Linked DNA regions of Macaca mulatta. The protein of the gene in region 2 purifies or fractionates together with the protein of the main gene of each other region. This does not show direct contact. Links are inferred from orthologs where the notes say so. Each region holds a gene or a part of one and is shown on either strand. Other genes may lie near its edges.

Region 1 (6,740 bases), on a different chromosome or scaffold from region 2:
CGACTCAGCCTCCCAAGTAGCTGGGACTACAGGCGCCCGCTACCACGCCCGGCTAATTTTTTTGTATTTTTAGTAGAGACGGGGTTTCACCGTGTTAGCCAGGATAGTCTCCATCTCCTGAACTCGTGATCCACCCGCCTCGGCCTCCCAAAGTGCTGGGATTACAGGCTTGAGCCACCGCGCCCGGCCCATGGCCATTGTTCTTAAAATATTTGCACAAGAGAATAACATGCAGATCCCCTGATCTATTTCCTTTTGTTTCCAAATAAATTTTGTGTGTGTGTGTGTATGCTTTCACTTGAAAATGTTTATTGGAATTAGCCATGGGGAGAAGTCTTGGATTCCTCCTCTCTGTAGTTATACAAAAGTGTCTGAACTGCCTCCCCCATCCCCATTTTGTTGATGGCGAATCCTGGGAATGCCTCCCAAAAGCTCTGTGGTAGGTCTCAGACACCCCTTTCCTAGGCCCTCTGAGTTACAGTTTGGCTGCCTTGACCTTCCTTGGTTGAAGGGAGTGAGGGTAATGTATTAGTAGTACTTGAATATTGTTCTTAATGAGAAATAGGGACAGTTGACTAGTTTCCTGGTGGCCTAAAAGTTCCATTCCTTTCCATTTAACAAGTAATTTTGGTTTAGTGCAGAAAGGGAGGCATCTGTTTTGTTTTGTTTTGTTTTTTTGAGACAGAGTGTTTCACTCTTGTTGCCTAGGCTGGAGTGCAGTGGCACAATCTCGGCTCACCGCAACCTCCACCTCCTGGGTTCAAGCGATTCTCCTGCCTCAGCCTGAGTAGCTGGGATTACAGGCATGTGCCACCATGCCCGACTAATTTTTGTATTAGTAGAGATGGGGTTTCACCATGTTAGGCTGGTCTCGAACTCCTGACTTTAGGTGATTCACCTGACTTGGCCTCCCAAAGTGCTGGGATTACAGGCATGAGCCACGGCGCCCAGCCTGGGATGCATCTCTTAACATTGATTTTTCCAGGACCTGTAAAAGCATCAAAGTTCCAACACACCGATTTGTAACTGATTAGCTACTTCTTCCCTTTTTTGTTTTGGCCTGATGTCATTTGTTACTGTCGCTTCAGAGTTTGGAGGTCCTGCAGTCCTGATATATAATGCCTTTTCCTCTACTCATTGCTGTGAGGCAGTAGTTTCTTCTGTACCTACAGTGCCTCAGTGTTAAAGATTAAAAGAAGTAAAGTTCCTGGTATACAAATAGGCACTCACTGTAGTACATCCCCTGTTATAGGCTGGAAGACAGAAAAAGGTGTTCTGAGGTTTTTGTTTAAACTCTCCTGCCCTCAGGTAGAAAATAGCTTTTGGTTACCTATTTTTTTTATTTAGATTTTAATTTTATTTCAATAGTGCTCCAGCTGTATTGGTAGCCTATTATATTCAGTAGCAATGAGTACCTTTCAAATAAAAATAGACTTTCCTCCTGACCTACCACTTAAACTGTCTGTGTTGTGAAAGGAGAATGAGGCTCTTGTCAGTTACCCGGCTTGAGAATTGGGAAGGCGTTACTCTGAGGGAGGTGTTAGTGATTTCCCCGATAATAAACAGACCTATAGCACGTGTAAATGTGAAATTGCAAGTCATTCTGGCTTTTCCTCACTGTTGCTTCCTTTTCGGTGAGGGATTATAAACATGAATTCGTGTTTATGAATGGTTCCTGCTCTAGGGGAATTCACTGTTAAGAGAAGGACAGATAAAAACGATCTCTAATATTTTGAGATAAACATCAGGAACATAAGATCCTGCAGGAACATAAGGGAGAGAGTGATTTTCCCAAGGGGTAACAGCATTTTTTAACAGAACTATTCTAGAAGTGTAGAAGGTAGCCATATATTATGAAAAGGGGCCATGGGTTTCTTTTTCTCTCAAACCTAATTCTTAAAAATTGCTTATAACATTTGTGTGGGTACAAAAATAGATTTGGGGGTACATTATTAATGTTTATTTCTAGACATTTGGCTCTTTTTAACACGTAACAATTCTTAAAATTGAGAGTATAATACTAGCATTATCGAAGTAGGAAGATGATGAGCTGATGCAGGCTAGAGGGCAGTAATTGTCAGTGTACTCTTGAAATCAGTAACTAGGCTATATGTGTCACTACTTAGTAGCATGTCTAGGTCAGGTTTTTGGTGTCAGAATCTAGTTCAGACAAGCTAAATGTTAGTGTCTCGTGAACTCCACTTTGCCTTGTGATATGTAACTGTGGGTGAATGTAAAGATGTGAGTAGCTGCAGCCATAAAAAAGAACGAGATCCCAGCCTTGGCAGCACGGCGAAACCCCCGTCTCTACCAAAATCATACAGGGCGTGGTGGTGCGTGCCTGCAGTCCAGCTACCTGGCAGGCTGGGGTGGGGGTGGGGGGTCACCTGAGCTCAGGGAGGTCAAGGCTAGTGTGAACTGTATTCATGCCACTACACTCCAGCCTGGGTGACAGATTGAGACCCTGTTTCCAAAAAAAAAATAAAAGAACGAAATCATGTCTTTTGTAGCAACATGGATGGAGCTGGAGGCATTCACTTAAGCAATTAACACAGGAACAAAAAACCAAGTACCTCACATTCTTATAAGTGGGAGTTAAACCTTGAATACATATGAACAGAAGGGAACAACAGACACTGAGGCCTAGTTGAGGGGGTGGATGGTGCGGATTGAAAAACTACCTGTCAGTACTATGCTTATCACTTGGATGACAAAATGGTCTGTTCACCAAACCCTCACAACACCCATTTCCCCTGTATTACAGACCTGCACATGTACCCTGAACCTAAAATAACAGTTCGAAAAAAAGTAGATGTGGGGTAGGAAACCCCTGGATCTCTGCAGGGAGATCATTGTGCATTCAGATGCACAATGAACATTTAGAAGCAAACTTTTGAAGGAGTATTTTCAGCTGCCATTTATGCTTCTCACAAATAGAGTTTGAAACAGCTGAGACACTTCTAAATTCAGAAGTTCATATGCTTCTGGAACATCGAAAGCAACAGAATGAGAGTGCAGAGGATGAACAGGAACTCTCAGAAGTCTTCATGAAAACATTAAACTACACAGCCCGTTTCAGTCGTTTCAAAAACAGAGAGACCATTGCCAGTGTTCGTAGGTGAGTGCTAAAAGAAAGTTTTTATTAATCCAAACCGTTGGACAACTGCATGTGGACTGCTGTCCCCTCCCCCTTTCCCAGGTGTCACCTGTGAATTTAAGTAAAATAATGTTGGGCTGGGCATGGCGGCTCACACCTATGCTCCTAGCACTTTGGGACATTGAGGCAGCAGATCACTTGAGGCCAGATGTTCAAGACCAGCCTGGTCAACATAGCAAAAACCTGTCTCTACTAAAAATGCAAAAATTAGCTGGGTGTGATGGTATACACCATGAATCCCAGCTACTCAGGAGGCTGAGGTGGGAGAATCGCTTGAACCTGCAGGCCAAGGTTGCAGTGAGCCGAGATTGCGCCACTGAACTCCAGCCTGGGTAACTTAGAAGACCAAAATTTCAGCCAAGTGTGGTGGCTTACACCTATAATCCACACTTTGCGGGGCTGAGGTGGACCAGTCTCTTGAGGCCAGAAGTTCAAGACCAGCATGGGCAACATGGTGAAACTCCTGTCCCTACAAAAAAAATACAAAAATTAGCCAGGTGTAGTGGCAGGTACCTGTGGTCCTAGTTACTTGGGAGGCTGAAGTGGGAGGATCATGTGAGCCCGGGAGGTTAGGCTTTAGTGAACTGTGATTGTACCACTTTACTCCAGTCTGGGAACAGATTCAAATATGACTCTGTCGTATTTTATATAAGTCCAGTATGTGTGATCCAAATGGTACTGTTAGTGGGGAAGTAAGGTTTTTTCGTTATTTTTTTGTAGCGATGGGGAGACTTACTGTGTTGCCTAGGCTGGTCTCAAACTCCTGGCCTCAATTGATCTCCCACCTTAGCCCCCCAAAATGCTGGGATTGGCCGGGTGCGGTGACTCACGCCTGTAATTCCAGCACTTTGGGAGACCGAGATGGGCAGATCACTTGAGGTCAGGAATTCGAGACCAGCCTGACCAAAATGGTGAAATCTCGTCTGTACTAAAAATACAAAAATTAGCTGGGCGTGGTAGCGCACACCTGTAGTCCCAGCTACTTGGGAGCCTGAGAAAGGATAATTGCTTGAACCTGGGAGGTGGAGGTAGCAGTGAGCCAAGATCGTGCCACTGCACTCCAGCCTGGGTGGCAGAGTGAGACTCCATCTTAAAAAAAAAAAAGACTCGATCTCAAAAAAAAAAAAAAGCACTTGAATTAGAAGTAAGCCACCATGTCCAGCCTATATATATATATGTGTATATATATAATTTTTTTTGATAACAGTATTTGTACATATGTGTGAGGTACACGTGATATTTTGTTACTTAGAATGTGTAATGAGTATGTTAGGGTGTTTAGGGTGTTGATCATTTCTATGTATTAGGAACAGTTCAAGTCTTCTCCCCTAGCTATTTTTATTTTCTGTATTTATTCATTTATTTTAGAGACAGGGTCTCACTATGTTGCCCAGGCTGAGATGTCTTGAACTTCTGGACTCGAGTGATCCTCCTGCCTTGGCCTCCTCCCAAAGTGCTAGGGTTACAGGCATGAGCTGCTAAGCCCGACCTCCTCTACCTTTTTTTTGTTTTGTTTCATTTTGATTTGAGACAGTCTCACTTCATCACTCAGATTGGAGTGGTGCAATCTTGGCTCACTTCTACCTCTGCCTCCCAGGTTAAAGCAGTTCTCATGCCCCAGCCTCCCATGTAGCTGAGACTACAGACATATACCACCACACCCGGCTGATTTTTTTTTTTTTTGAGATGGAGTCTAGTTCTGTCACCCAGGCTAGGGTGCAGTGGCGTGATCTTGGCTCACTGCGACCTCTGCCTCCCGGGTTCAAGTGATCTTGCCTCAGCCTCCTGAGTAAGCTGGGTTTACCGGTGCCCACCACTGCACCCAGCTAATTTTTGTATTTTTAGTAGAGATGAGGTTTCACTGTGTTGGCCAGGCCAGGCTGGTGATCTGCCCGCCTCGGCCTTCCAAAGTGCTGGGATTACAGGCATGAGCCACTGAGCCTGGCCAATTTTTGTATTTTTAGTAGAGACGGGGTTTTGCCGTGGTGCTCAGGCTGGTCTAGAACTCCTCACGTCAAGTGTAGCCCACCTTGGCCTCTCAGAGTGCTAGAATTAGAGATGCGAGCCATGACACCTGGCCGTCTAGCTATATTTAAATACTGGCTACATTTGATCCCTTTTTTCCTGTTGATTATTCTTTTGATTTTTGTTGTTTCTTTGTTTTTGATTTTTTTGTTTTGATTTTTTTTTTTTTCCTTTTGATTAGCTTGCTACTCCAGAAAAAGCTTCACAAGTTTGAGTTGGCCTGTTTGGCCAACCTTTGCCCAGAGACTGCTGAGGAGTCCAAGGCTCTAATCCCAAGGTTAGTACCAGTTGTGATAAGTTCTCTGTATACTGGATAAATTCCTACAAATAGAATTGGTGTGTCTAAAATGTGTATGCATTATATATTTGGATACATGATTGCCAATATTAAATGAAAGTGCCTTTTTTGTTCAATATTTCAAAGCACGTTTCCTGCTTATTAACAGTGTGTGAGAATGATGGTTTTATACCACACCAAGTGAGAGCAAAAATCTGAAACAGCTGGAACTTCCGTACGCTGATGGTAGGGGTGTGAGTGTTAATTACAACAGTCATTTTGGAGAGCAATTTGGCTGTGTCTGGTAAAGATGAATATACTCCATGTTCCAAATATCCATTCCTGATACATATCTCAAAGGTAACTCACACAAGTTTACAAGGAGACGTATATTCTAGTGTTCATTGCTGCACTGTTTTGTTTCTGCTTTTGTTTTTAGTAGACATGGGGTTTCACCATGTTGGCCAGGCTGGTCTCAAACTTCCGGCCTCAAGTGATCTGCCCACTTTGACCTCCCAAGGTGCTGGGATTACAGGCATGAGCCTCAGTGCCCGGCCTCATGCTGCACTGCTAATGATAGCAGAAATTTGATCATCTCTTAGTCAATAAGAAAGTGGATAAATGAATCGTTGTATAGTCACACAATGTTTATTGTACGGCAGTGAAAACAGTCAGTGAACTAGAACCACGTGGAATATCAACATGTCAGAATGAATTCTGAGGAAAAATGGCAGAAGGATAAACACAGTGTGGTGCCATTTCTTATAAAGTCTGAAACTGTGCTGCATATTACTTACGTATCCATAAATGTGTAGTAAGTATAAAATATGTATGGCAAAACAAATTTTTAAAAAAAGGTATGGCAATGATAAATACTAAATTGAGGATGGTGGTTATTTCTGGGGAAGGAGGGAAGGTATTGGTCTAGGAAAGTAACACAGCCATCCACTTTCCTGCTTATTAAAGAACTCTGGGCCGGGTGCAGTGGCTCATGCCTGTAATCCCAGCACTTTGAGAGGCCAAGGCAGGTGGATCCCAAGGTTAGGAGGTCGAGACCATCCTGGCCAACATGATGTGACTCCATCTCTACTAAAATACAAAATTAGCTGGGCATGGCGGTATGTGCCTGTCGTCCCTGCTACTTGGGAGGCTGAGGTAGGGGAATCACTTGAACCCAGGAGGTGGAGGTTGCAGTGAGCCAAGATTGCGCCACTGCACTCTAGCTTGGCAACAGAGCGACACTCCATCTCAAAAAAAAAGAACTCTGGCCAGGTGTGGTGA
Region 2 (7,401 bases):
CTAGTTTGATTGCACTGTGGTCTGAGAGATTGTTATAATTTCTGTTCTTGTACATTTGCTGAGGAGTGCTTTACTTCCAATTACGTGGTCAATTTTGGAGTAAGTACAATGTGGTGCTGAGAAGAATGTATATTCTGTTGATTTGGGGTGGAGAGTTCTATAGATGTCTATTAGGTCTGCTTGCTGCAGAGATGAGTTCAATTCCTGGATATCCTTGTTAACTTTCTGTCTCGTTGATCTGTCTAATGTTGACGGTGGAGTGTTGAAGTCTCCCATTATTATTGTATGGGAGTCTAAGTCTCTTTGTAAGTCTCTAAGGACTTGCTTGATGAATCTGGGTGCTCCTGTATTGGGTGCATATATATTTAGGATAGTTAGCTCTTCCTGTTGAATTGATCCCTTTACCATTATGTAATGGCCTTCTTTGTCTCTTTTGATCTTTGATGGTTTAAAGTCTGTTTTATCAGAGACTAGTATTGCAAACCCCGCTTTTTTTTGTTCTCCATTTGCTTGGTAAATCTTCCTCCATCCCTTTATTTTGAGCCTATGTATGTCTCTGCGTGTGAGATGGGTCTCCTGAATACAGCAGACTGATGGGTCTTGACTCTTTATCCAGTTTGCCAGTCTGTGTCTTTTAATTGGAGCATTTAGTCCATTTACATTTAAGGTTAAGATTGTTATGTGTGAACTTGATCCTGCCATTATGGTATTAACTGGTTATTTTGCTCGTTAGTTGATGCAGTTTCTTCCTAGCCTCGATGGTCTTTACATTTTGGCATGTTTTTGCAATGGCTGGTACCGGTTGTTCTTTCCATGTTTAGTGCTTCCTTCAGGGTCTCTTGTAAGGCAGGCCTAGTGGTGACAAAATCTCTAAGCATTTGCTTATCTGTAAAGGATTTTATTTCTCCTTCACTTATGAAACTTAGTTTGGCTGGATATGAAATTCTGGGTTTAAAATTCTTTTCTTTTAGAATGTTGAATATTGGCCCCCACTCTCTTCTGGCTTGGAGAGTTTCTGCCGAGAGATCTGCTGTTAGTCTGATGGGCTTCCCTTTGTGGGTAACCCGACCTTTCTCTCTGGCTGCCCTTAAGATTTTTTCCTTCATTTCAACTTTGGTGAATCTGGCAATGATGTGTCTTGGAGTTGCTCTTCTCGAGGAGTATCTTTGTGGCGTTCTCTGTATTTCCTGGATTTGAATGTTGGCCTGCCCTACTAGGTTGGGGAAGTTCTCCTGGATGATATCCTGAAGAGTGTTTTCCAAGTTGGTTCCATTTTCCCCCTCAGTTTCAGGCACCCCAATCAGATGTAGATTTGGTCTTTTTACATAATCCCATACTTCTTGCAGGCTTTGTTCATTTCTTTTTCTTCTTTTTTCTTTTGATTTCTCTTCTCGCTTCATTTCATTCATTTGATCCTCAATCGCAGATACTCTTTCTTCCAGTTGATCGAGTCGGTTACTGAAGCTTGTGCATTTGTCACGTATTTCTTGTGTCATGGTTTTCATCTCTTTCATTTCGTTTATGACCTTCTCTGCATTAATTACTCTAGCCATCAATTCTTCCACTTTTTTTTCAAGATTTTTAGTTTCTTTGCGCTGGGTACGTAATTCCTCCTTTAGCTCTGAGAAATTTGATGGACTGAAGCCTTCTTCTCTCATCTCGTCAAAGTCATTCTCCGTCCAGCTTTGATCCATTGCTGGCGATGACCTGCGCTCCTTTGCCGGGGGAGATGCGCTCTTATTTTTTGAATTTCCAGCTTTTCTGCCCTGCTTTTTCCCCATCTTTGTGGTTTTATCTGCCTCTGGTCTTTGATGATGGTGATGTACTGATGGGGTTTTGGTGTAGGTGTCCTTCCTGTTTGATAGTTTTCATTCTAACAGTCAGGACCCTCAGCTGTAGGTCTGTTGGAGATTGCTTGAGGTCCACTCCAGACCCTGTTTGCCTGGGTATCAGCAGCAGAAGCTGCAGAAGATAGAATATTTCTGAACAGCGAGTCTACCTGTCTGATTCTTGCTTTGGAAGCTTCCTCTCAGGGGTGTACTCCACCCTGTGAGGTATGGGGTGTCAGACTGCCCCTAGTGGGGGATGTCTCCCAGTTAGGCTACTCAGGGTTCAGGGACCCACTTAAGCAGGGAGTCTGTCCCTTCTCAGATCTCAACCTCCGTGTTGGGAGATCCACTGCTCTCTTCAAAGCTGTCAGACAGAGTCGTTTGCGTCTGCAGAGGTTTCGGCTGCGTTTGTTATTGCCCTGTCCCCAGAGGCGGAGTCTACAGAGACAGGCAGGTTTCCTTGAGCTGCTGTGAGCTCCACCTAGTTCGAGCTTCCCAGCAGCTTTGTTTACCTACTTAAGCCTCAGCAATGGCGGGCGCCCCTCCCCCAGCCTGGCTGCTGCCTTGCCGGTAGATCACAGACTGCTGTGCTAGCAATGAGGGAGGCTCCGTGGGTGTGGGACCCTCCGGGCCAGGTGTGGGATATGATCTTCTGGTGTGCCTGTTTGCTTAAAGCGCAGTATTGGGGTGGGAGTTACCCGATTTTCCAGGTGTTGTGTGTCTCAGTTCCCCTGGCTAGGAAAAGGGATTCCCTTCCCCCTTGCGCTTCCCAGGTGAGGCAATGCCTCGCCCTGCTTCAGCTCTTGCTGGTCGGGCTGCAGCAGCTGACCAGCACCGATCGTCCGGCACTCCCCAGTGAGATGAACCCAGTACCTCAGTTGAAAATGCAGAAATCACGGGTCTTCTGTGTCGCTCGCGCTGGGAGTTGGAGACTGGAGCTGTTCCTATTCGGCCATCTTGCTCCACCCCCCTATAAATTTCTTTATTCAAGTGACCACTATATTGTCATGATAAATGAAATGACATACATTATGCTTAATTCCCAATTTGAGCTAAATGTATAACAGGATTGGTGCATATTTAATCATTAGACTCATTAGAATCTTTTTTTTGAGATGGAGTTTCGCTTTGTCACCCAGGCTGGAGTGCAGTGATGCAGTCTTGGCTCACTGCAACTTTTTCCTCCCAGGTTCAAGGGATTCTCCTGCCTCAGCCTCCTGAGTAGCTGGGATTACAGGCACATGCCACCACGCCTGGTTAATTTTTGTATTTTTAGTAGAGAAGGGATTTCACCATGTTGGTCAGGCTGGTCTCAAACTCCTGACCTTGTGATCTGCCCACCTTGGCCTTCCAAAGTCCCGGGATTACAGGTGTGAGCCACCATGCCTGGCCGAATCATTAGAATCTTAGGACAGAAAAAGCTATATGAAGTTTCTGGTTTCATGAACTTAAAATTTGTTTCTGAAAACTTGAGGTTTTCTAATATCCTAATCTAGCAGTATCTTTATCTCTAGAGTATGCCCAGCTTTTTGCAGCACTGATTGCCCGAACCGCAAAAGACATTGATGTTTTGATAGATTCCTTACCCAGTGAAGAATCTACAGCTGCTTTACAGGTAAGCCTCTATTCCTTTGAGAATTTTACCAGTAATAGAGAATTTTGAATTAAAGGAGGTAGATTTAATACCTTTTGTCTGTGTCCATTTGTGCTGCTATAACAACATACCTGAGACAGTAATTTATAAAGAACAAAAATTAATTTTCTCACAGTTCTGGAGTCTGGGAAGTCCAAGATCAAGGCATTTATTACTCATTGTGCATGAGTAATGAATTTTTATTAAACATGGTACCATGTTTAGGACCATGTTGAGGACCTTCTTCCTGTTTCCTCACATGGCTGAAGGCAGAAGGGCAGAAGAGCAAGAGCTCCCTCTTCAACCTCAAGCCATATTTTAAGGGTACTAATTCCATCTATGAGAGCTCTGCCTTCATGACTTAATATCCTCTTAAAGGCCCCTCCCCCTCTTAGTACCATCACATTGGGGATTAGATTTTAATGTATGAATTTTGGAGGGGACACATTCAAATCGTAGTACCTTTTGTGATAATATTCAATTTTCCCTGATAAGAAAACCTCTTATTTTCCTCAATTTTGTCTCTTTTCCTAGTGAAGAATGAGAGGAGGGTGGCATTCTAGATGTGGAGTAGAATAATGGTGTCCAAACGTAGTGTGGAAGGGAGTTACAGATATCTAGAGATCTCTAATTGAAGAGTCATTCTTTTTAATAATTCACATGGGGAAAATTCTTAAAAGTTATCTGATTTTTAGAATTTTTTTACTGAAAAATATATCACAATGATTGCAAAGTCATCCAGATTTAAAAATAAGTACATCTGCGACAGCTTCTCTCCTTCTAAACTCTAAAGATTTTAAAATTTGTGTTTTACAAAGGCTGCTAGCTTATATAAGCTAGAAGAAGAAAACCATGAAGCTGCTACATGTCTGGAGGATGTTGTTTATCGAGGAGACATGCTTCTGGAAAAGATACAAAGCGCACTTGCTGATATTGCACAGTCACAACTGAAGACAAGAAGTGGTAGCCATAGCCAGTCTCTTCCAGATTCATAGCACCAGTGGATACTATGTGGCTGAGAAAAGAACTATTTGAGTGCCATTAATAATTCTGCATCAGACTTAGATACAAGCCTTATCAACAATTACAGAAACATTAAACACTATGACACGTTACCTTTTTAGCTATTTTTAATAGTCTTCTATTTTCACTCTTGATAAATAAGCTTATAAAATCATGACTGAACCAGCTTTAAACCATCATACTCATTTTTTAACTGAGTGAAATTATTGCGGCAGGTAATGCATTAATGAACATAATATAAGGAAACATGTAAAATTCTATTATGACTTAATTTATGTCTTTATTTTGTTGTATTGGCCAGTACTTTTGCAAATCAAAACATCTCTCAAGCCAGAGGAGAAGACAGTAAGAACAGACATAAGGAACATTTTAGTTTAGGCTAGTGTCCTGCCTCTTAGAAGTGGCATTGTGTAAATCTGAGCTTTGAACAAGAAAGTTTTGGAAATTGTATTGCTCTTAAGAAATAGAGTTAGTGTGGCTGGATAAGAAAGTCACATTTATGCAAATATTTCTTCTTCCAGAACCTCATACCTGTTCTAGTTCATCTCCATGTTTATTTTACCAAGAAATTTCTGTGTCAAGAGAATTTCCTTGCTGTTGTGAAAAAATTTTTCTACAGCCTGAACTATTTTTCCTATTTCTTTTCACCTTGCTTTTTTTCATCCTTCTCCTTAATTTGCTTGTCATCACAATGAAGTATGTTTTTTGAATCAATTCTTTCTCATTCTCTTCATTTATCTGAAGGTTCTGTCTTTTACGCTTATTAACCTCTCAACTTTTATTGCTGTATTCTAGTCAGACCAGAACATAACTTCCACTACATCAGTTACTTGGCACCATTTCACCTCAGTTTATTATTGCCAAATAATACTTTGTGTCAGCATTTTCAACTATGGTTACTCATCCAACCCTTGGATCTCTTTGAGTCTACTGATTATCTCTACTGGAAAGGTGGAATTGAAATGTGGTCCACATTTTAACTGGCCATCTCCTGGGGCTGTATTTTTCAGAATATCCTGAGCTACATTTGCTGCAATCTGTTGCTATTCAGAGTTTAAGTTTCAGGAGGAAAAAAAACAATAGAACACTCTGCCTGTTATTTTTGTGGTAATCAAACTTGTCCACAGTTCTTGAAAAGTACTATGTTTCAAATTTCAGGAACACCAGCATTAACTGTAAAAGTTGCAGCAATTTATTGGCTAGTCATAGAAATTTTTTGAACTTTTAACTATGTGTATTTTCATTGATGTTTATTAAAAACACTTTGCTATCACAGACATTTGGCATAAATCTGTACTCTTCATTATAGTTTTGGGGGGAGAGAAGATTTGATCAGAAAACTTTTTCAAAGTACCTAAGTGTTATAAAGGAGTCAAAAAGGTACAAATAAAAAGAAAAGGTCAAGATATTTTTCAAATGAAGGAGAACTAACAGGATTTATCACTAGTAAACCTGCTCTAAAAGAATTGTCAAGGGAAGTTTTTTTCTAAAAAAAATTCTAAAAAAACAGCTGCTAAAAAGATTTCCCTTCTTTCTAGAAGGGAAATTATAGCAGAAGGAAACTTAGAATGGCGGGAATAAAGAAGGCACAATGTGTAGGGTAAATATAACAGACTTCTCTTGAGGTTTTAAAAATTACATTTGTTAATTGAAAGAAAAAAATTAACATTGTTTTATGTGATTCTCTGTAGAGCATATACAGGTTTGTTTTTTTAAGTTGAATTCTCTGTCACCCAAGCTGAAGTGCAGTGCTGTGATCATGACTCACTGCAGCTTCAACCTAGGTTCAGGTGATTCACCCACTTCAGCCTCTTCACTAACTGGGACTACAGGCATGTACTACCATGTCCAGCTAATTTTTTTCTTTCTTTCTTTTTTTTTTTTTTTAAGAGATGGGGTCTCACTCTGTTGCCCAGGCTAATGTCAAACTCCTGACCTCAAGATATTGATACTATACAGTAGACTATAAGAAATTAAGTATTTGTATCATCCCTAGAGCAACACAGATTTTTTCCCTAAAAACCTACACAGATTATTTTCAAAAGCATCAGTACATTAAGGTAGAATACTAAAAAAGATTCAGGTAACCCAGGAACAAGAAACAGAATAAAACAATAGTAAACCTAAATTTTATTTTATTTCATTAATAAAGCAATAATTAAATGTCAATGATCTAAGCTGATTTAAATCTAAAAACTAGATAAGAAGCTGTGGCTTGTAATTAAAGATAGAAATTTATTCACGACCTACAGTTTGCTTTTTTCATATGTAAATTAATAAAAGTTTAATATCCTACTTCTCTGTTTCAGTTCTAGGCACCACTGTCAGTTAACCCTAAAGATTTTTGTGGGTGAAACCATTTTGATTACCGTTTTGCTCTGCTGCCGGATATGGTAACCAAACTCTTTGTTTCTGGATGTTAAATCTTTCCGCTTGTGCTTTAACTACATCCTAACTCCCATCATCTCCATTGAATTTAAGGAGCCAATTTCTTTTTTTGAGATGGAGTTTCACTCTTGTTGCCCAGGCTGGAGTGCAATGGCACAATCTTGGCTTCCCGCAACCTCCGCTTCCCGGGTTCAAGCAATTCTCCTGCCTCAGCCTCCCAAATAACCTGGGATTATAGGCATGCACCACCATGCCTGGCTAATTTTGTATTTTTAGTAGAGACGAGGTTTCTCCATATTTATCAGGCTGGTCTCTAACTCCCGACCTCAGGTGATCCACCCACCTCGGCCTCCCAAAGTGCTGGGATTACAGCCATGAGGCACTGCCCCTGGCCAGAAGCCAATTTCAATGGGCGTATCCTTTATCACTCCTGACCTGTGATAATAGCCATTAGAGCTTTTCAAGAATAGTACCCCCTGCCAATGATTTTTTTTTAAGCCTTAATGAAGAGAGTGTCCTCTGGGTCCT
Region 3 (6,740 bases), on a different chromosome or scaffold from region 2:
GGCCTATAAATTCTCACATAGACTGTTAACATTCCTCTACTCCAGGCTTTAAGAAAACCAAACTAAGCACTCAGACTGCTAGTGAAGGCGTGAGTGTCTGTAGAAGGTGTTTGTTTTTCACCACTTCAGGTACACTCCCCTTTTATTGCTTTATATGCCAGAGACTCACTCTCCAAGTTTCTCTGTCACTCCAAGAAACCTTTTCTGTTCTTTGTTACATCAAGTCCAGATTTTCATCAAAAAGCTGTCCTGGCCGGGCATGGTGGCTCACATCTGTAATCCCAGCACTTTGGGAGGCCGAGGCGGGTGGATTACGAGGTCAGGAGATCGAGACCATCCTGGCTAACACGATGAAACCCCATCTCTACTAAAAATACAAAAAATTAGCCGGGCATGGTGGCGGGCGTCTGTGGTCCCAGCTACTCGGTAGGCTGAGGCAGGAGAATGGCGTGAACCCGGGAGGTGGAGCTTGCGGTGAGCTGAGATCGCGCCACTGCACTCCAGCCTGGGCAACAGAGTGAGACTCTGTCTCAAAAAAAGAAAAAAGCTGTCTTGTACTAGTTCTGGTTCTCAAAAGGCAAGATATTACCACATATCACACAAAGTTTTAGAAGAGGAATAGAATGTGAAGGGTATTAAAAGTATATGTAGCTATGATTTTCATTTTGTGAAGACTTATTAATCTTATATTGACTTTGGTCTTAATTTACTCATTCTTTCAAAAATTATTTACTGAGTATAAGATATACCAGACCTGTGTTAGGCTCTGAAGATATGGTGAACAGAATAGACACAATTCTTGTCTAGTGGAACAGAGGAATAAATAATAGTTAATTAACATAAACACATAATTACAAATTGTGATAAGCACTATGAAGGAAAAGGCTGTGATGTTACGAGAAAGAATAATCAAGTCTAATTTAGTTGGAAGTGGGTGGCAAGGAGGTTAGTTGTGAGTTTTCAGGGAAAGCCTTATGCTGAGACCTGCATGCTAAGTAGACATTAACCAGACAAAGAGTATATAAAGATTTCTGTATGTGCAGTGCAAAAAGTAGCTTGTTTCCTTTTTGAAAAGTATTGGATCAAAAGTAACAGCATTAGAAAATAGAAATTTGGCCGGATATGGTGGCTTATGCTGGTGATCCCAGCACTTTGGGAGGCTGAGGTGGGAGTATTACTTGAAGCCAGGAGCTTGAGACCCGTCTAAGCAGCATAGTGAGACCTTGTCTTTACAACTAAAAATAAATAAATATTTTTATTCAAAAAAATTTTTAAATATGTTTAAATTTAAGTGGCAAAATAGTGAGTTAGGTTAGTGTTGTATTTTAAAAAATGGAATATTGGACATGAAGCTTATAAGTAGATTAACTTTCTCTTTCAAATTTTAGGAAAGCAGAACTAGAAGCAGCTGTGAGAAAGAAGATTGAATTTGAAAGAAAAGCTCTACATATTGTTGAACAGCTTTTAGAAGAGAATATTACAGAAGAGTTCCTAATGGAGTGTGTATGTGTTAAGTTGACAAATTATTAGTTTTGTAGTATAACATCTTTAAATCTGTGCAACATGAAACTTCTTTGCATTATTAAAATCTTTGAATTTGTTCTCAGTCATTAGATGCAGATAACAATCTATATAATTCATGCATTTTAAAATAAACAACTATCATGCATTCCTTGTATAATGACTTTAAAATGCACTAATGAAAAATAACAAGTACATAACAAGGTGATGACAGGTAATGTATATTTCAAAATTAATAAGAGTGGATTTCAAATATTCTCACCATAAAGGATAAATATGTGAGGTGATGGATATGTTAATTAGCCTGATTTGGTCAACATATACATGTGTTAAAACATCACATACTACCCCACAAATATATACAATTATTATTGTCAATTAAAAAGCAAAAAGAGGCCAGGCACAATGGTTCATGCCTGTAATCCCAGCACTTTGGGAGGCCAAGGTGGTTGGATCACTTGAGGTCAGGAGTTTGGGACCAGCCTAGCCAACATGGTGGAACCCTGTTTCTACTAAAAATACAAAATTAGGCAGGTGTGGCTCATGCCTGTAATCCCAGCTGCTCGGGAGGCTGAGGCATGAGAATCACCTGAACTCAGGAGGCAGAGGTTGCAGTGAGCTGAGATCACGCCACTGCACTCCAGCCTGGGCAACAAGAGCTAGAACCTGTCTCAAAACAAATAAATAATAAATGGAAAAAAAGAAAAATGAGGATGAGGGAGAAAAAAAAAAAGAAAAAGCAAGTATATTTTGCCCTTAGTCGTAGTTCTTTTAACCAGTCTGCTAATATCACTTGATTTTCTTCAGTTTGTTCTATGATTGCAATTCCAGTTTTCTATATTCTGTGTTGTATTATTTTAAGTAACAGAAGAATATTATTTTTGTCAATGTAATTTCATCAATTTTCATATTTCAAAAACCTGAAATACAGATCATTTATGACTATAAAACAGGAGAATTAAGTTCCACATTAATTTTTTTTTTTTTTTTGAGATGGAATCTGTTGCCCAGTCTGGAGTGCAGTGGTGCAGTCTCGGCTCTGCAAGCTCTGCCTCCCAGGTTCATGCCGTTCTCCTACTTCAGCCTCCCGAGTAGCTGGACCTACAGGAACCCACCATCAGGCCCGGCTAATTTTTTTGTATTTTTGGTAGAGATGGAGTTTCACCGTGTTAGCCAGGATGGTCTCGATCTCCTGATCTCGTGATCCGTCCGCCTCGGCCTCCCAGAGTGCTGGGCTTACAGGCGTGAGCCACCACACCCGGCGCACATTAAATTTTTTTAGGCCAAGCAGGATGGCTCATACCTGTAATCCCAGCACTTTGGGAAGCCAAGGCAGTAGGATTGCTTGAGCCCAGGAGTTTGAGACCAGTCTGGAAAACACAGTGAGACCCTGTCTAAATAAAAATTTGAGAATAAAAAAATTTTTAAACAGCTTCACTACATTAAAATTTTGAATGGAAATTTCTTTTATATTCTCGTAATCCTTAAGAGAGCAAATGAAAACTCAAAGCTTCTATTACAAAAACACTTCTTAGTATAGTCCATAGATCTTTTTCTACAACAGGAATATGAACATGACAAGTCATATTTTTATTGACACAGGTAACTGCATCAGTATCTGCATATATGATGACACCAGAAAAGACAAAAGCAAATATGCTTCATTTGAAACATAAAACTTATATCACTCTCAATAAAAAGTATTTCAGTCCCTGTGAAAACAGAAAAATTTGTTAAAAGATCTCAAAGTTAAGAACAAGAATCAAGATTATTTGAACATGAAGATGTCAAAGGAAACTATTTGATGTTAGCTTATAACCATCACCTCACCACTGTACAGATTTTTCAGAAGTGGGAAAATTTTGCACAGACTGTTCAGGAGTCACAATGACACTTTTGAAATACATTGTTGTTAAAGATTATGCTTTAAAAAATAGGTAAAATTATATTTTATTACTTTGTTATTTAATTTTTTAAATGTTTTTTTAAAAATAAAAGATACTGTTGTCATTTAGCTTGTGTATAGCTATAGCATCACTTCTTCCTCATGCCTCAGAATTATTTCACTTAACTATATAATCTACAAAGATGCAGAGACTACTGTGGCAGACTTTTTTTTAATAACTTTTTTTCGAATGCTTACTATATGTTGAGCACTTCTCTAAGTGATTTTGCTTTATTTTCTCCTCTAATTCTAACCTCTAACTTATCTAACTTATGAGGGAGGTACTATTGCTATCCCTGTGTTTTCAGGTAAGATCGATGAGGCTTACAGAGCTGATAAATGAACTTTTCTATTAAACTAGGAGGAAATAACCCTCTCATTTCATTTTAGGGGAAGTTCATTACACCTGCTCACTACAGCGATGTCGTGGATGAACGTTCTATTGTCAAACTCTGTGGTTATCCTTTATGTCAGAAGAAGCTGGGAATTGTAAGTAACTCATTTTTTTTCTTATTTTCAGTTAGCAAAATACTTTGTTGTAAGAATAAGAAATGAAACCTAAGGTCATGAACTAAAGGCATGGATTGGCCAATGATATGATATGTAGATTTGTAACATAAGTTTCATGTTTATTATTTGGATTCTTTTGTAAGCTGTACTTTCTTTTCTTTAGGTACCAAAACAGAAATATAAAATTTCTACCAAGACCAATAAAGTCTATGATATTACTGAAAGAAAGGTGAGTTTAAAGGCTTTCATCGTCGCAATTAATTGTTTTTCTTTACTAACCACTATCCTAACAAGGAATGGCAATTAATTTTTGATGATATTAAATAGGATTCTAAAAGAAACTGTTTAAAATCTTACTGGTTAGAAAATAGTGGTGTTAAAAGTTTGGTTTTATTTGTAAATATTTCAGTCAAGGTATTAAAAATTGTTTTGCTTAAGCTTCAATTAAGACTTTAACATTTAAAAGTTAAAAGTGCATAGTGGCACAAATCTAGGCAAATAAATCATGGAACAGAATAGAGAGTCAGTAACAGACTAAACACATATGTAGACACTTGATATATGACAGCAGGAGTATTGTAGATCAGTAGAGAAAGGATGGATTTTTCAATAAATTATACTGGCACAATTAGTTATGCAAATAGAAAAAAAATGAAAATTGATGCCTATCTCAGTCTGTACACACAGATCAATTTTAGGTAGATTAAAGACATAAATGTAAAAGGTAGATTCTTTTTGAAGACACTATGGGAGAGGCCGGGCATGGTGGCTCACACCTGTAATCCTAGCACTTTGGGAGGCCAAGGTGGGCAGATTACCTGAGCTCAAGGAGTTGGAGGCCAGCCTGGGCAATGGCGAAACCCTGTCTCTACAAAGTAAAGTACAAAAATCAGCCAAATGTGGTGGTACGCATCTGTAGTCCCAGCTACTTAGGAAGCTGAGACACATGAATCGCTTGAACCTGGGAGGCAGAGGTTACAGTGAGCCAAGATCATGCCACTGCGCTCCAGCCTGGGCAACAGAGCGAGGCACTGTCTTCAAAAAAAAAAAAGACAATAGGCCGGTGCCGTGGCTCAAGCCTGTAATCCCAGCACTTTGGGAGGCTGAGGCGGGCGGATCATGAGGTCAGGAGATCGAGACCATCCTGGGTAACATGGTGAAACCCCATCTGTACTAAAAAATACAAAAAATTAGCCAGGCGTGGTGGTGGGCTCCTGTAGTCCCAGCTACTCCGGAGGCTGAGGCAGGAGAATGGCATGAGCCTGGGAGGCAGAGCTTGCAGTGAGCCGAGATCGCACCACTGCACTCCGGCCTGGGCGACAGAGCGAGACTTCATCTCAAAAAAAAAAAGAAGAAAGAAAAAAAATATGGGAAGATATAAACTTGGGGTAGAGAGACTTTATAAAATAAGATGGAAAATTTTAGGCCAAAGAGGAGAAACTGATAAACATTTCTATATTAAAATGTTAAATTTTTGTTCATCAGAAGTTTCAAAAAAAAGAATGAAAAGAGAAGCCACAAAGCAGAATGTTGTTATTTCATGTAACTGACCATAGAATCATATCTAGAATATATGATCTATAAGAAAAAGACACACAAACTAATAGAAAAATTTACACAAGGAACTTGAATGGCTAATAAACATATGAAAAGATGCTCAATATTATCAGTAATCAGAGAAATAGCAAATAAAAGCACATTGAGTTATGTTTTCACAGCCCACAAAATGGCCAATATTAGGAAATCTTTTTGCAACTAGTGGGAATCAAAATTGGTGCAACCTTTTTGAGAAATGGTTTGGCACTTGTCTGGTGAAGTCTTTGCACATTCTTTGTAATTAAGCCTTTCTATTCCTTGGTATAAACCCTAATAAAATTATTACACATGTGCACCAGCATGTATATATAAAAATGTTTATAGCTGGATAAACAATGTGGTATATACACACAATGGAATATTAGCCTTAAAAAAAGGAAAGAAATTCTGACACATGCTACAAGGTGGATGAACCTTGAAAATAATATGCTAAGTGAAATAAGCCAGCACAAAAGGACAAATACTATATGCTTTCACTTACATGAGGTACCTAGAGAAGTCAAATTACTAGAGACAGAAAGTAGAATGATCATTAAGAGAGGTGGGAATGGGAAGTTAGTGTATAGGGTTTCAGTTTTGTAAGATAAAAAGAGTTCTAAAGATGAATGGTGGTAATAGTTACACAACAGTGTGAAGGCACTTAATGCCACTGTGCTGACTTAAAAATGGTTATGATGATAAATTTTATATGATGTATATTTTACCACAATTTTAAACATTTTTTAATTGCAAAAAAGGTTTATAGTAACATTGTAGTGATAGCAAAAAAATTGAAAACAACTCAATTGTCTATAAATGGTAAAGTGTAATACACTAATACAATGGAATGTAGTACACAGTGAAAATTTATAAGCTACAACTACTTGAATGAATCTTAAAAACATAATTTTAAACAAAAGAAGTAGCAAGGTACGGTGGCTCACACCTATAATTCTAGCACTTTGGGAGGCCAGGGAGAGAAGATTGAGACCAGCCTGGGCAACAAATCGAGACCCCATCTCCACAAAAAAATAAAACAGCCGAGTGTGGTGGCATGCCTGTAGTCCAAGCTACTCAAGAGGCTGAGACTGGAGGATTGTTTGAGCCCACGAGTTTGAGGCTACAGTGAATCAGACCCTGTCCCTAAAAAAAAAAAAAAATTTAATAAGTGAATGAAGTAAGATAAGAA

What was found. The genes of interacting proteins can lie anywhere in the genome.
Region 1: the proteins of MED21 (region 2) and POLR2D purify together in Homo sapiens (affinity purification with mass spectrometry; 4 studies listed by BioGRID and IntAct, with this or other methods). This does not show direct contact. The link is inferred for Macaca mulatta from reciprocal best matches to the Homo sapiens genes MED21 and POLR2D.
Region 3: the proteins of MED21 (region 2) and RPAP2 purify together in Homo sapiens (affinity purification with mass spectrometry; 3 studies listed by BioGRID and IntAct, with this or other methods). This does not show direct contact. The link is inferred for Macaca mulatta from reciprocal best matches to the Homo sapiens genes MED21 and RPAP2.

Annotation. Positions count from the first base shown.
Region 1 is NC_133417.1:9,420,842-9,427,581, forward strand, and holds part of POLR2D (DNA-directed RNA polymerase II subunit RPB4), read left to right. Parts: intron 1-2,937; coding exon 2,938-3,118; intron 3,119-5,363; coding exon 5,364-5,459; intron 5,460-6,740. UniProt on the Homo sapiens protein: Core component of RNA polymerase II (Pol II), a DNA-dependent RNA polymerase which synthesizes mRNA precursors and many functional non-coding RNAs using the four ribonucleoside triphosphates as substrates.
Region 2 is NC_133416.1:29,397,880-29,405,280, forward strand, and holds the end of MED21 (mediator of RNA polymerase II transcription subunit 21), read left to right. Parts: intron 1-3,343; coding exon 3,344-3,444; intron 3,445-4,280; coding exon 4,281-4,457; 3' UTR 4,458-5,755; downstream 5,756-7,401. UniProt on the Homo sapiens protein: Component of the Mediator complex, a coactivator involved in the regulated transcription of nearly all RNA polymerase II-dependent genes.
Region 3 is NC_133406.1:148,013,867-148,020,606, reverse strand, and holds part of RPAP2 (putative RNA polymerase II subunit B1 CTD phosphatase RPAP2), read left to right. Parts: intron 1-1,388; coding exon of another isoform or gene 1,389-1,503; intron 1,504-3,856; coding exon of another isoform or gene 3,857-3,887; coding exon 3,888-3,955; intron 3,956-4,139; coding exon 4,140-4,205; intron 4,206-6,740.